3 linked regions of the Nothobranchius furzeri genome follow. The protein of the gene in region 1 binds, or shares a complex with, the protein of each later gene. Links are inferred from orthologs where the notes say so. Each region holds a gene or a part of one and is shown on either strand. Other genes may lie near its edges.

What was found.
Region 2: the proteins of vps51 (region 1) and stx6 are in contact, whole or in part, in a crystal structure (PDB 4J2C), measured with the Homo sapiens proteins. The link is inferred for Nothobranchius furzeri from reciprocal best matches to the Homo sapiens genes VPS51 and STX6. Residues at the interface, in NP_037397.2 of Homo sapiens: Ala33, His34, Met36, Leu37, Leu39, Tyr40, Tyr41, Gly42, Leu43; in NP_005810.1 of Homo sapiens: Met3, Glu4, Asp5, Pro6, Phe7, Val9, Val10, Glu13, Trp59, Asp60, Asp63, Leu64, Glu66, Thr67, Ile70, Val71, Phe78, Arg88.
Region 3: vps51 (region 1) and vps52 share a complex: the UniProt entries of both Homo sapiens proteins name them as parts of the endosome-associated retrograde protein (EARP) complex. The link is inferred for Nothobranchius furzeri from reciprocal best matches to the Homo sapiens genes VPS51 and VPS52.

Annotation. Positions count from the first base shown.
Region 1 is NC_091750.1:53,409,378-53,413,606, reverse strand, and holds the start of vps51 (vacuolar protein sorting-associated protein 51 homolog), read right to left. Parts: upstream 2,882-4,229; 5' UTR 2,707-2,881; coding exon 2,521-2,706; intron 2,357-2,520; coding exon 2,227-2,356; intron 2,141-2,226; coding exon 1,994-2,140; intron 1,915-1,993; coding exon 1,695-1,914; intron 1,603-1,694; coding exon 708-1,602; intron 601-707; coding exon 385-600; intron 303-384; coding exon 219-302; intron 120-218; coding exon 1-119. UniProt on the Homo sapiens protein: Acts as a component of the GARP complex that is involved in retrograde transport from early and late endosomes to the trans-Golgi network (TGN).
Region 2 is NC_091748.1:80,951,205-80,955,535, forward strand, and holds the start of stx6 (syntaxin-6), read right to left. Parts: upstream 2,839-4,331; 5' UTR 1,168-2,838; coding exon 1,133-1,167; intron 1-1,132. UniProt on the Homo sapiens protein: SNARE promoting movement of transport vesicles to target membranes. Targets endosomes to the trans-Golgi network, and may therefore function in retrograde trafficking.
Region 3 is NC_091759.1:11,210,112-11,213,699, reverse strand, and holds part of vps52 (vacuolar protein sorting-associated protein 52 homolog), read right to left. Parts: intron 2,653-3,588; coding exon 2,587-2,652; intron 2,355-2,586; coding exon 2,243-2,354; intron 925-2,242; coding exon 806-924; intron 1-805. UniProt on the Homo sapiens protein: Acts as a component of the GARP complex that is involved in retrograde transport from early and late endosomes to the trans-Golgi network (TGN).

The sequences.
Region 1 (4,229 bases):
GTGGTGTCCTCTACTACCCTCTTCATGACAGCACGGACGTTCCGTGGCTCGATGGTGTTAACCCAGTCGCGCGTTTCAACACTCTTCCTTAACATCTGGGAGATGATCAGACCCTGAACCTGGACCAAACAAGACATATTATTACTAGGCACTCATAAGGCTCTAGACTCTAAACTGTTTTACTTGTTAATCATAAAAAGGAAAAGAAACAAACCCACCTTGACATAATGATTGAGTAGTTTCTGTGCCGCCTCTCTGGCTTCTGCGCACAAAGCTGTGACCGGTGTTATGGGACTGTGGTGCTGGAGGATAAAAACGAAACGTGAGCAGAACCATTCAGGACAGTAAAAAAGCACAGTGCTTTGGTTAATGGTGGTGTAAAACCTGCACAAGGAACTGTTCGTCTGTGAGTGTGAGGATGTAGGAGATGGTGGACGTTTCAAAGTCCAAACAGAGCCGGGACAGCAGCAACAGAAGGGCTGGAGGAGTGGAACCTCCTTTGTCTCCCGCGCTTTCACAAAAGTTGCGAGAGGACTGGCACACAAACTTGATGAAGCTCACCACCAGACTCTCGCGCACACCTTGGCTGCAGAATTCCCCCTGGGAGGAGGAGGAGAGAAAGAAAGAAAAATAGCAGCCACATCCACAAAAGTGCAGAATCAAGGCACAGAATTATCGAACCGGCTGGTTTAAAGGGGAACACTCACCTTGAAGTACGGCTTATTGGAGAACGTGATGTCCTTAGCTGTGAAGAGGTGAACCGACGCCAGCACCGACTTAATCTGGTTGAGAATAGAAGCTGACAAAGAAGAGAGCAGCTCTGGTAGGCTAGCTGGTGCATCTCTACCCGTGACAGGTCCACCTAGATGTGCTGCACCTCCAGCCACAGAGAGCCGAGGCGTCGCCAAGGCCTGTCTCACATCCGTCAGGCTGTCCATGTAGAAGTTCTGCAGGGCACACAGGTACTGCTTCACACGCTCTGTAGCTGCTCTTATGACAATTTCTGTCCCCCTGTTGGGCACCGCCGAGCCTGGCAGCAGTTTGGACACAGCCTGTAGCCTGCGGTGGAAGCGGTCGAGTGCACGGACCAGGAGGGAGTTATCACTAACCCCTTTCTCTTCCTGTATCCTCCTCTCAACGAGTGAGAAATACCGGGTGGTCAAATCATCCACAAAGGTGTGCAGCTTACCATTTGCCATCTGAAGGATGTTCTTTGAAGCTAGTTCCCCTGTCTGAGCATGGTTGATGAACAGTTCTTGATAGGATGTAATCACTAAACATAAGCTGCTCACAAATTCATTGCATCCTCTGTCTATGAACTCCAAGATGTCTGTGTTCAAGGTGGGAGACGACAGAGAGCTCATCTTAGGGGAGTTATCAGTCGGAGATCCAGAGGACATGTTACCTGAGGATCTGCGTGTAGATGCTTCTTTCTTTGAAGCTGGGTAGGGTTTTATCTCTGCTTCTAGGCTCTGGAGATCTAACTCGAGTCGAGACCGGGCATGGCTCAGGAATTTATCACAGAGCTCCTCTGCAGGCTCGTCCAATTGAAGGAGCAGCTCCACACACTCAGACAAATCTTTGGCACTCGTACCGCCATCCCTTTGTGCACAGGAGAAAAGAAAGCCAGAGATCTCATAGGCAGCTCTTTATAATTAAATCAGTTTTTTGCAAATGGGTTAGGAAATTGGCACCTGAATTTCTGTCGAAGCTCCTGAGCGAGCTTCTCCATGATGGCGTGACAGTCATCCTGAATTCCCTTGAAGGAGGGCAGATGGCTGTACTGCTGCAGCACGCAGCGTGCACGCCGGTGGAAGCTCACTGCCTGAGCATACGCCTGCAGCTCCAGACACTTGTTCAACCTCGCAGGCAGCTCAAACAGAAACTGAAGCTTCCTTAGCAGCATGTGGACCCCTAACATGGAACATGACGAGAGGAACAAGCATGAACAAAGTCTCTGAAGAACAATCCAAAAGACAATTTGCAGTCTAACCTGAGAGTTTGGTGATCTGTGCATGCTGATCTTGGAGCGTCCCGCTGATCCGAGCACTAAAGTCAGTGATTGCCGCCATGTTTGTAGACAGGCAGTCCATTTCGTCTTCCATCTTTTTGAAATCATTCTTCATCTTTCTTATGGTGTCTAGCAAAAATAAAATAAAAACATGATTGCACACATCCAGGTTATGACTGAAGCAGATGTGTGTGTGTGTGTGATGCTCCACTTACCTGTAGCAGATATGAATTTATTGTAGTTTTCATAGACCAGGGTCTGCATGTCGCTGTCCAAAGAGCGGATCTGCTTCACCATGCAGGTCTCTTGGTCCATCAACTCAGCAAGAGAGCACTCCTTTCTGAGCTGTAATAGGACACAGATCAGTCAAAGATCATTTATAACTCACATTCAGGATACAAAATAAAATAAAATCCCCAATGATCATATGGAATTCTTTAACTACAGCCACACAGACTATGTCTAAAACATGACAACACTTAAAGCCAACAGCTGATATCTCACAGCACCTTGTTAAGGTACAGCTCCGGGTCAAAATGCGGCCCGTTGATGTCGCAGGGATTCAGAGACTCCGGTTGCTCTGGGGCCTTTCCTTCTTCATTCAGCCCGTAGTAAAGCTTCAGCATGCCGTGCACCTTTCGCCTCCTCCCCGACTCCTCCGACATCGCCACTGAGCCGTCCGCGTCGACATCCATACTGAACTCCGGCCAGCTGACAAACGGAACAAGGACACAGGCGACAGCTTATATCTTCAATTATATCTTATGTCAGTTTAACTCCACTATCTGCACTAAATAACGAGTATTTGTGGCGTGAATATGCGAAAAATAAGACTATTTTTCTCTCAAATAAAAGCAGATGATTGTTAGCCTTATTTCCGCGTTTGTAGCCAATCCAAGGTAACGTTCTCCGAAAGTCAGCGTAATCGGTCGTGCAGTACTAATACGCATGCGCGACAGCAGTTCACTTCCGCTATGGTCTTTTTTCCCCGTTTGTACAGCTATTGTTCATCAAAACATTAAATATCAACATAAGTATTAAACAAAAAACACGAAATCTTTACTGAATTACACATAATAAAAAGATGAACAATTGTTACTAATATCGCTGATATTTGTGTTGTTTTTCTCTTTGCTGATCAGCGCTTTGAGGAAAAGGTATATTTTTGTTGTGATTTATATTATTTTCTCAGTGAAAAATTCAAAGCAATCAATACACATAATTTCAATCCCGCTCTTGCATTTGTTTGCACATTAATTGATCTATTGACATACTATAATTCATTTTATTTCAATCCACCATATACATACTACTTACAAACAACATAAAATGAACAAATGCATCTGATATAGGTGACAAAGTATTTCATTTAATGGTAAAATAAATCTACAAGTATGAGTGAACAAAACAAATACTGATGAAGGAAAAGTTGAGTCATGAAATCAGAATAACATTGAGGTTTGGCTTCATTATTCAGTACTTGGGCTTTAGGTAGTGGCGTAACAAACACATCATGAGGGGAAAATTTCTGGATTTTACTATCAAATACTTAAACAGCAGAAATGATAAGACTGCAATGCACTTTTTAACATCAGTAGAAATGGATAATGCATTAGTTAGTTAACTGTGTGGGAAATAAATAAAAAAAATACATTTTTGACCACATCCAAGTGAGTACAAACAAAAAGGCACTTTAACCTTCTGCAGAGTAGCAGCTTGAAAGGGCAGGGTTCTATTTGACCATACTCTTCACTGTTATATACACAAACAAGAAATATGTAGAGAGTAAAAATATTCTTTCAAAAGTTCATAATCAATATAAAACAGCCTGATGATGAAAAAAATGTGTGTTAGTATTAACAGTGCAACATCCTCTGTGTATCATGCTGGAATGCCTATTCTACAATGAGACATGCATAGTGTAGGTTAGCAACAACACACAGACCTGCTGCAGTTTACAGACAGTAGTTGGGCTTAAAGCATGGAAAAATAACATTCTGTTGTTTGTATAATGAGATGAACCAGGGAGATCCTGACGCTGATCAGACATGTAGAAGGGAGCATAACAGAGGTGTGATCTTCTCGTCACAATCGTTTACCGAGAGGAGCCAGATTAATAAACATCTGAGTTCAAAAAGTGAACAAATGCCTCTAAAGGTAACATTCCGACGCAGCAGGTTCGCTTTACCGTGGAGACTCAACAGCACGATGACCTGAG
Region 2 (4,331 bases), on another chromosome or scaffold:
AGTCTTCAGCTGCTTTTTAAAGGAGACCACTGAGTCCACTGATCTCAGGCTCAGGGGGAGAGAGGTCCAGAGTCTGGGGGCCACAGCAGCAGATGATCTGTCACCTTTGACCTTTAGCCTGGTGCTGCACAACCAGTAGGCTTTGATCACTGGACCTCAGGGACCTGCTGGGGGTGTAGGGACTAAGAAGATCACCAATGTAAGATGGTGCTTGTCCATGTAAGGCCCTATAGACCAGAACCAGGATCTTGAAATGAACCCTGAAGTTGACTGGCAGCCAGTGAAGCTGGAGGAGAAGCGGGGTGATGTGGGTGTGTTTGGAGGACTTGGTCAGAAGCCGAGCACAGGCGTTCTGAACCACCTGTAGACGGTTCAGGGAGGTTCTGCTCAGACACGTGAAAAGAGAGTTACAGTAGTCTAAGCGTGAGGAGATGAAGGTGTGGAGAACTGTCTCAAGTTCAGAGCGGGACAGAATGGGACTCAGCTTAGCAACGTTCCTGAGATGGAAGAAGGAAGAGCCAACAAGAGAACTGACATGAGAATCCAGGATGAGAGCTGGGTCAAAGGATCCACTGTTTTCCCTCTTTCCTGTTCATTTTCTCTCTCCATTTCCTAGCATTATTTTTCATCACCATTTTTCTCTCTCTCATTTTGAACATATTTTTAATCATCTCTGAAATCTTTTTTATGCCTTAATTCATTTTTTATTGGTGAAGTGCCTCGTAATTTTTATTTTGAGAGGTGCTTTTATAAAAGATTGTTTTCTTTCACTACATGTATTTCAGAAACCGCTGATCTGAGAGTGTCACACACAACCATCTCCAGGGTTTACAGAGAATGGTCTGAAAAAGGGAAAACACCCAGTGGGCAGCAGGTCTGTGGGTGAAAAGACATTTGAATACCATTCACTCATGATTTTTAAGCGAAAAACAACAAAGGCCTACCCCGCGTTGACCGTACTACATACTGTATACGCGCAGGGGAATTCTGATCGAGGGCTGGACAGACCAGCCAGAACGGAACCAGCCTTCTAGAGCTAACAGCTGCTGCCCACGGCACCGGAAAATAGTCGTGGCTCGAGCTTTATGCGGATGCTAGCTTTAGTTTAGTGCAGATAACCAATGCTTCTGACCCTTTAACGACGAAGAATGGATCTTCCATGGACATCTTTCCGCTTCGCGTTCAGTCCACTAACCAGATTCTTCAGTCTGGCTCTGCTGCGAGGGCTTTGTTCCGATTACAGCCCGGTTCTGGTCATCGCCTCGTCTCTCTGTGCTTTGTTTACATGTAGCAATGAAGCGTCAATTGGAATCGTAGCATGTTCAAGGAAGATCCCGTCTTTCTCGCCTTTGATTGGCTGCAAGGGCTCTCCGAAAGGCTGCAGACCCGGACCGCGTTATCACTTTACACCACAGACTGCACTAAGCGGTGGAAGACGGTTTGCTGCTAAATGGAAATAGCCAATCGTAGTAGAGACGTTCTAGCCAATCAGAGGCGAGAAAGGCAGGAACTTCCTGGGACATCCTACGATTCCAAATCACGTTAGCGGCAACCATTCCGTCACATCCGTGCAGGAAGTAAGTTTTATTTTTCAAAACTTTATTGAAAAATTAACAATTATAAAACAAAAACTCCATATTTAAACATAACTTAAAATAACAACACTATATAATCAAAAACACAACAAAGTATCTGTTAAAATATTCTTAAACCACTTTTATTTTAGTTTTCAATTTTGGCATTTTAAGTTACTGTTGGTAATAGAGATACAATACTCATTCAGATCAGGTTCTTTGAAATTATTAAATCATGGGGATTTTGTATGTAAATATTTAGCTAATATAATATTAAAAGTACATCTATTATATATACTTCATCAGTGGAAAAAATTAGCTGTAGAAACTTAGCCTAGCGAACTAGACCAAATTCTTGCTTTGCAAATAAATAATACATTTATTTAGTCTGGCTTGCCAGGCTAGTAGAAACTGTCATGTATTGGGAACGTGATGACGTAACGCAGGGGTGTCAAACTCAAACTCACACGGGGCCGAAATGAAACTCTGGGACGGAGTCAAGGGCCAAACTTAATATTTTTGAAAAAGTGATGGCAAATTTGCACATTTTCTTTATCAACATATATGCAATTTTGAACCTTTAAATTTGGAAACAAACATATTTCTGCATTAACACTGAATGTGGAATAACCAAATTACACACGAGCAAGTCGGTTTTAAATAAAAGGCATCAGTGGTATTCATTACTTGTGGTATAATCAGCATTTTTAAAATCTTTTCAGGATTTATGTTTTCTTGTTTATTCATTTTTCTTATTTTTTATTCTCCTTTTTTTCTCCTGTAATACGTGTCATCGCTGCTGTGACGTCTAGCTTTTCCCACTGAGGAACAATAAAGAGATTTTCTATTCTATTCATCTATCTGCAGCCTTTCCACTTCCTGTTTACTGTAGGTTAAATCTTTGCTCACGGGCAGGGCCGGCGTTAGGCCCGGCTACTTGGGCTGAAGCCCTGGATGTTTCATGATAAGCCCCGGATCTAAATCGTGGAAGTAACATGCAGTACCAAAGTCCAACAGAGAGGGAGCAGCTGGCAGTAGTTTGTATACAGCCTGCCTGAGCCTCCACCACTGAAGAAGAAGCCCTTCAGCAGCCGGCTTCTTCTACACTCTCTGCCTGAAACGCATGAGTGAAGATGGACATAAGGACGTTTTTAGACCAAAAGTACGGCGACAGAACCCCAGCTTTGATGAGACTGGTGTTGACTCAGGTTTGTGAGTCTTATTAGAAAATATTTGTTGTGCTGCTGGTTTGCCTAAAGTTAGCTTACTATCAGGTAAAGTTGTTGGAGAAAGAACGGGAATATTTACTATCATCTCACACTAAACACTAACAGGAACAATACTCTGCCCTGAAAATGCTTAATATGTAGCTTCAGATTAAAAATTATGTGGTACAAGACAAATATATATGATGTTGACTAGTGCGTGTCATGTGTGTGTGTGTGCACGCGTGCATGTGTGCGTTAAGCCCCGGATCTTCTTCAGTCCTAAATCCGCCCCTGCTCACGGGCCAACAACAAAATACAAATATCATTTAATCTTAAATGAAAATGCAACATCTCACCTGTTAACTTTCATGTTTTGGAGCAGAAAAAGAGCATAAAACCAACATATTTAAAGCTCAGTTTGCTCCACTGGTTTACTGTGATGCTCACCTGTTCCAGCCAGATACCTGCATCATGGGGTTGGTCTGAGCTGAGGAGGAGACTCCTGTTGTTTTGCTCATCTTCATCATAATAATGACAACATTAGATGACAACAGGTGCTCACATAGGTTTGTGCTGATGAACATGTCTGAGCAGCTTGAGCACGTTGTTGTGTGTCGGGGAGGAAACACGACCACAGAGTCGTGCTGGTTTGAGCGTGTCGCTGCTCGCTGGAGTTATATCGGCTCTGTCTGGACGTTAGTTGGAAAACTTCTCTTTCAGTCGTGAACACATTACTGAGCGGCTAGAATCTCCGTTTCTGGGCTTCAACGTCAGAAAACAGCTGAGTGAACTCGGCGCTGAGTGAGAGGAGTGTTTAGTTTGTCCGAGACAGCAGAGCTGCTGACACCGGCAGCAGGCGCTGGAAAAAACACAAAGGAGGGGGCGCGTCGGCTGCGCGCTGACGCCGCAAAGCATCATGGAAGTTGTAGTCTTTGCGGTAAAATCGGCCAGCGGGCCAGTTTTAATATATTTTTGATATTTATCTCGCGGGCCACATAAGAATGCTCCGCGGGCCTCATCTGGGGGGTGGGGTGGGGTGGGGGTGGGGGTTTGTTGCCTGTCTCCAGCAGTCAATGGGCAATCAGACGGGGTACACCCTTTACAGAGAGCCAGGCAACACAGAGACACTCACACATGCACAGGGAGAACATGCAAACCACGCAAAAAGATCCCAGGCTGGGAAGCGAACCCAGGACCTTCTCGCTGCAAGGAAACAGCTCTAACCACTGTGCCACTGAGCAGCCCCAATTCAGAATGTCCTATCTCATTAATAAAGTAAGATCGACACACACAACAATGGTGACGAGGATGACGGAGACGAGTGTTTGAAAACAGGACTTTTTTTTTTAAGTGGCGGAGTTGGACGCGAAAGTTGCGTTCACGATGGAGAAGACGGGGATCCAGCCATTTGCATGCTACACAGAACCTGCTACTCTCGGATCAAGATGGACGCGATAGCTGACGTTGTTCGAGTTGTATGCAGACGAGAAAGGTCTTATCATCGCCGACGGGACGTCTGATGTGATGGCGCAGCGGAGACGCGCTCTTT
Region 3 (3,588 bases), on another chromosome or scaffold:
GCAGCAGCTCTCTCTTATGGAACTCAAAAGTATTCAAAATTCAATAAAAACACTGAGACACTCTGCTGTAAAGTCTCATTATGAAATAAATCAGCCATGGGAAAAAACACTACTGTGAAATAAAAGCTGTTTTTGTTAAAAAGACGTTATGTAATAAAAACTGAATGAATTAAATAAAAATGGCTCAATATTAATTTGGATTATTATGAAAAAATGACTTGAAAAAAACTTTATATTAATAAAGACATTTTAAAAGAAGAATGAAAAATATTTCAGAATATTGAGCTTAGATTTTACATAACATTCTGTTATTTCATCATTTCATTGTCAGATTACATGATTGTCTAGTATTTCTTCACGTGGATATTTATTTCATAATGTCTTATTTATTTATTGAATTTTGAATACTTTTGAGTTCCACAGGTGAGAGGGGTTTCTATTCTAATTTTCCTTTAGTGATGTCACAAACCGGGACTTTTGGAAACAACTCATTTTAAGCATTTAATTCCCTTTCCTTTTGCATTTTTCATGTGGTAGTGTTTACAGAGGCAGTAGGGATCTACAAGGCAGCACAAAGGAATGAAAATGTGTTTCTAGTTTTTCTTTACATCCTCTGCTCAAAGTGATTTTGGTAACATTAAAGTTTATTTGTAGGAAATGTTTCAGGTTTTCAGGATATGATTCATTCTCTGAGATGATTTACACCGACGCTCCCGTTGTCATTATTCTGGGCTGGGCTTAGTTGCGCCAAAGAAAGCGCACGTGTGTGTGTGTGTGTGTGTAACACACCTGCTGACTAACTCACCTGTATGATGCTGGTTCCATTTTTGAAGTTGGTGAAAGATCTCATGACCTCTTGGCTCATCGACTCCACTGATTGTTTCCAAGTGCTTGAAAAGCCCCGGATGAGCTGGGTGATGCGAGCTGCACACACACACACGCACGCACGCACGCACGCACACGCACGCACACACACACACACACACACACACACACACACACACACACACACACACACACACACACACACACACACACACACACACACACACACACACACACACACACACACAGCATGGTTAACATCATGGCTGTGTTTTTCTGTTTCCTGTATAGTTTCACTCATTTCCTTAGACAGAATGTAGGATGTGGTCATATGAAGTGATTGTTTTGTGGCTTCGGACGTTCGAAAGAGAAACGATCAGGAACAATAAAACGCTTAGACAGGAAGTAGCTTTTTCTCTGTAAATCTGAGGCCTAGTCCACACGTAGCCGGGTTTTTAAAAAAACGAATATCCGCCCCTCCAAAAACTTGCATCCACACCACCTTGTTTAAAAAAACTCTGTCCACACGTACCCGGATAAATACGTTGTTAAGGACATGCCAGACCTGTAGGCGGCAGTACTTCCCCCGTTCTTAACCTCGTCCTTCGTCTGTGGTCTTCCACAAGGAGCAGTAATTCCGCTTGCAAAAACAAACAAGCAAAAAGCGCTTGGACAATTGATAAAGCGAGCGCAGCTCTGAGGGCATCCATGATGTCGGCTAGTGTAAACACAGGTCGCACACGTGATGTCAGCATTGTTTTGTCGTGGAAAGTGACGTTGCGGACCTTAAAACTCCGGTTTTGTCTGTCCACACGCAGACACCCAAAACGGAGAAAACGCAGATCTTCACTTTGGAGTTTTTAAAAAGATCCGTTTTCGAGTGAAAAAACTCAGTTTTCGTGTGGATGACAGGCCAAAACGTAGAAACATATCTACGTTTTGGCAGCTCCCCGGCTACGTGTGGACAGGGCCTAAACTGAACGGTAAAAAGAAAGCAGCCTGTATAGACGTTCATGTGATGCTTCCTGGTGTTTCTGGATAAACTAAAACTCAAGGAGGCTCTTTGTACCTTCATTAAAAGCATTTCTGAGATTTTTACCCAGAAAATAAAGTCATTTACAGAATCAAATCAAAGATACTTTATTAATCCCAGAGGGAAATTAGAGTTTCAGTACACACAGTTCAGAAGAATTGGTGACTGTTGTCATTCAGAAGAAGAAAAACTCTGACCAGGACAGTTTGTTGACTTTAACCGTTTCCTTCTGACAGTTTCAGAGCTTTTATCAGTTAAACAAACCAAAAAACCCAACATGACATTGTGTGCTTCTACGTTGGTCACCTTTCACCAGAACCAGAGAACAGACGATACTGAAAACACCGAAGCCCTCTAGGCATTATCTGTTAGTTTCTCTCTCACCTTCCTCGTTCTTCAGCCGGTCCAGCTGTCCTTTCTCCATCAGCGCCTCGGCTTCCTTCACAAAGGCAATCATCCCCCCAAAGGGAGGAGACAAAATCTCCTCAATAAACTCCTGAAGGGACAAAATTCAGGAAAAACAGAGAAAAATGCTTTAGATGTCAGGTTTTTGTTTTGTTTCACATTATACGTCAAAATGTTAGAATGGCATCATTTTAGTATTTGGATTTAAAAGAGAAATGGGGAAAAAAGGAAAGAATGAAAATGAAACCATCTAATTCTTAATAAAAATACAGAATAAATGACATGAAAACGTTTTGAAATAAGGGAGGTTACGTGTTAGCTACCTGAGTTCTGGCCAGGAGCAGCTGCTGGAAGCTTTCCACTTCTTTACTGTCATCTGCTGCCCTCTCCTGGACAAAAAAGAAAAAGCATCTGCAGCAGTCAAAACTTGTGCAGAATTTACAGGTGCTGGCCAGTAAATTAGAATATCATCAAAAGGTTGAAAATATTTCAGTAATTCCATTCAAAACGTGAAACTTGTACATTATATTCATGCAATGCACACAGACCAATGTATTTCCGATGTTTATTACGTTTAATTTTGATATTTATAGGTGACAACCAATGAAAACATCAAATCTGGTATCTCAGAAAATTAGAATATTCTAAAGGCCAATGAAAAAATGTTTGTTTCTCTAATGTTGGCCAACTGAAAAGAATGAACATGAAAAGAATGTGCATGTATAGCACTCAATACTTAGTCGGGGCTCCTTTTGCCTCAATAACTGCAGTAATGCGGCGTGGCATGGACTCGATCAGTCTGTGGCACTGCTCAGGTGTTATGAGAGCCCAGGTTGCTCTGATAGTCGTCTTCAGCTCCTCTGCATTGTTGGGTCTAGCGTATTGCATCCTCCGCTTCACAATACCCCATAGATTTTCTATGGGGTTAAGGTCAGGCGAGTTTGCTGGCCAATCAAGGACAGGGATACCATGGTCCTTGAACCAGGTGCTGGTGGTTTTGGCACTGTGTGCAGGTGCCAAGTCCTGTTGAAAGGTGAAGTCTGCATCCCCATAAAGTTGGTCAGCAGCAGGAAGCATGAAGTGCTCTAAAACTTCCTGGTAGACGGCTGCATTGACCCTGGACCTCAGGAAACAGAGTGGGCCAACACCGGCAGATGACATGGCACCCCACACCATCACTGACGGTGGAAACTTTACACTGGACCTCATGCAACGTGGATTCTGTGCTTCTCCGCTCTTCCTCCAGACTCTGGGTCCTTGATTTCCAAAGGAAATGCAGAACTTGCTTTCATCAGAAAACATAACTTTGGACCACTCAGCATCAG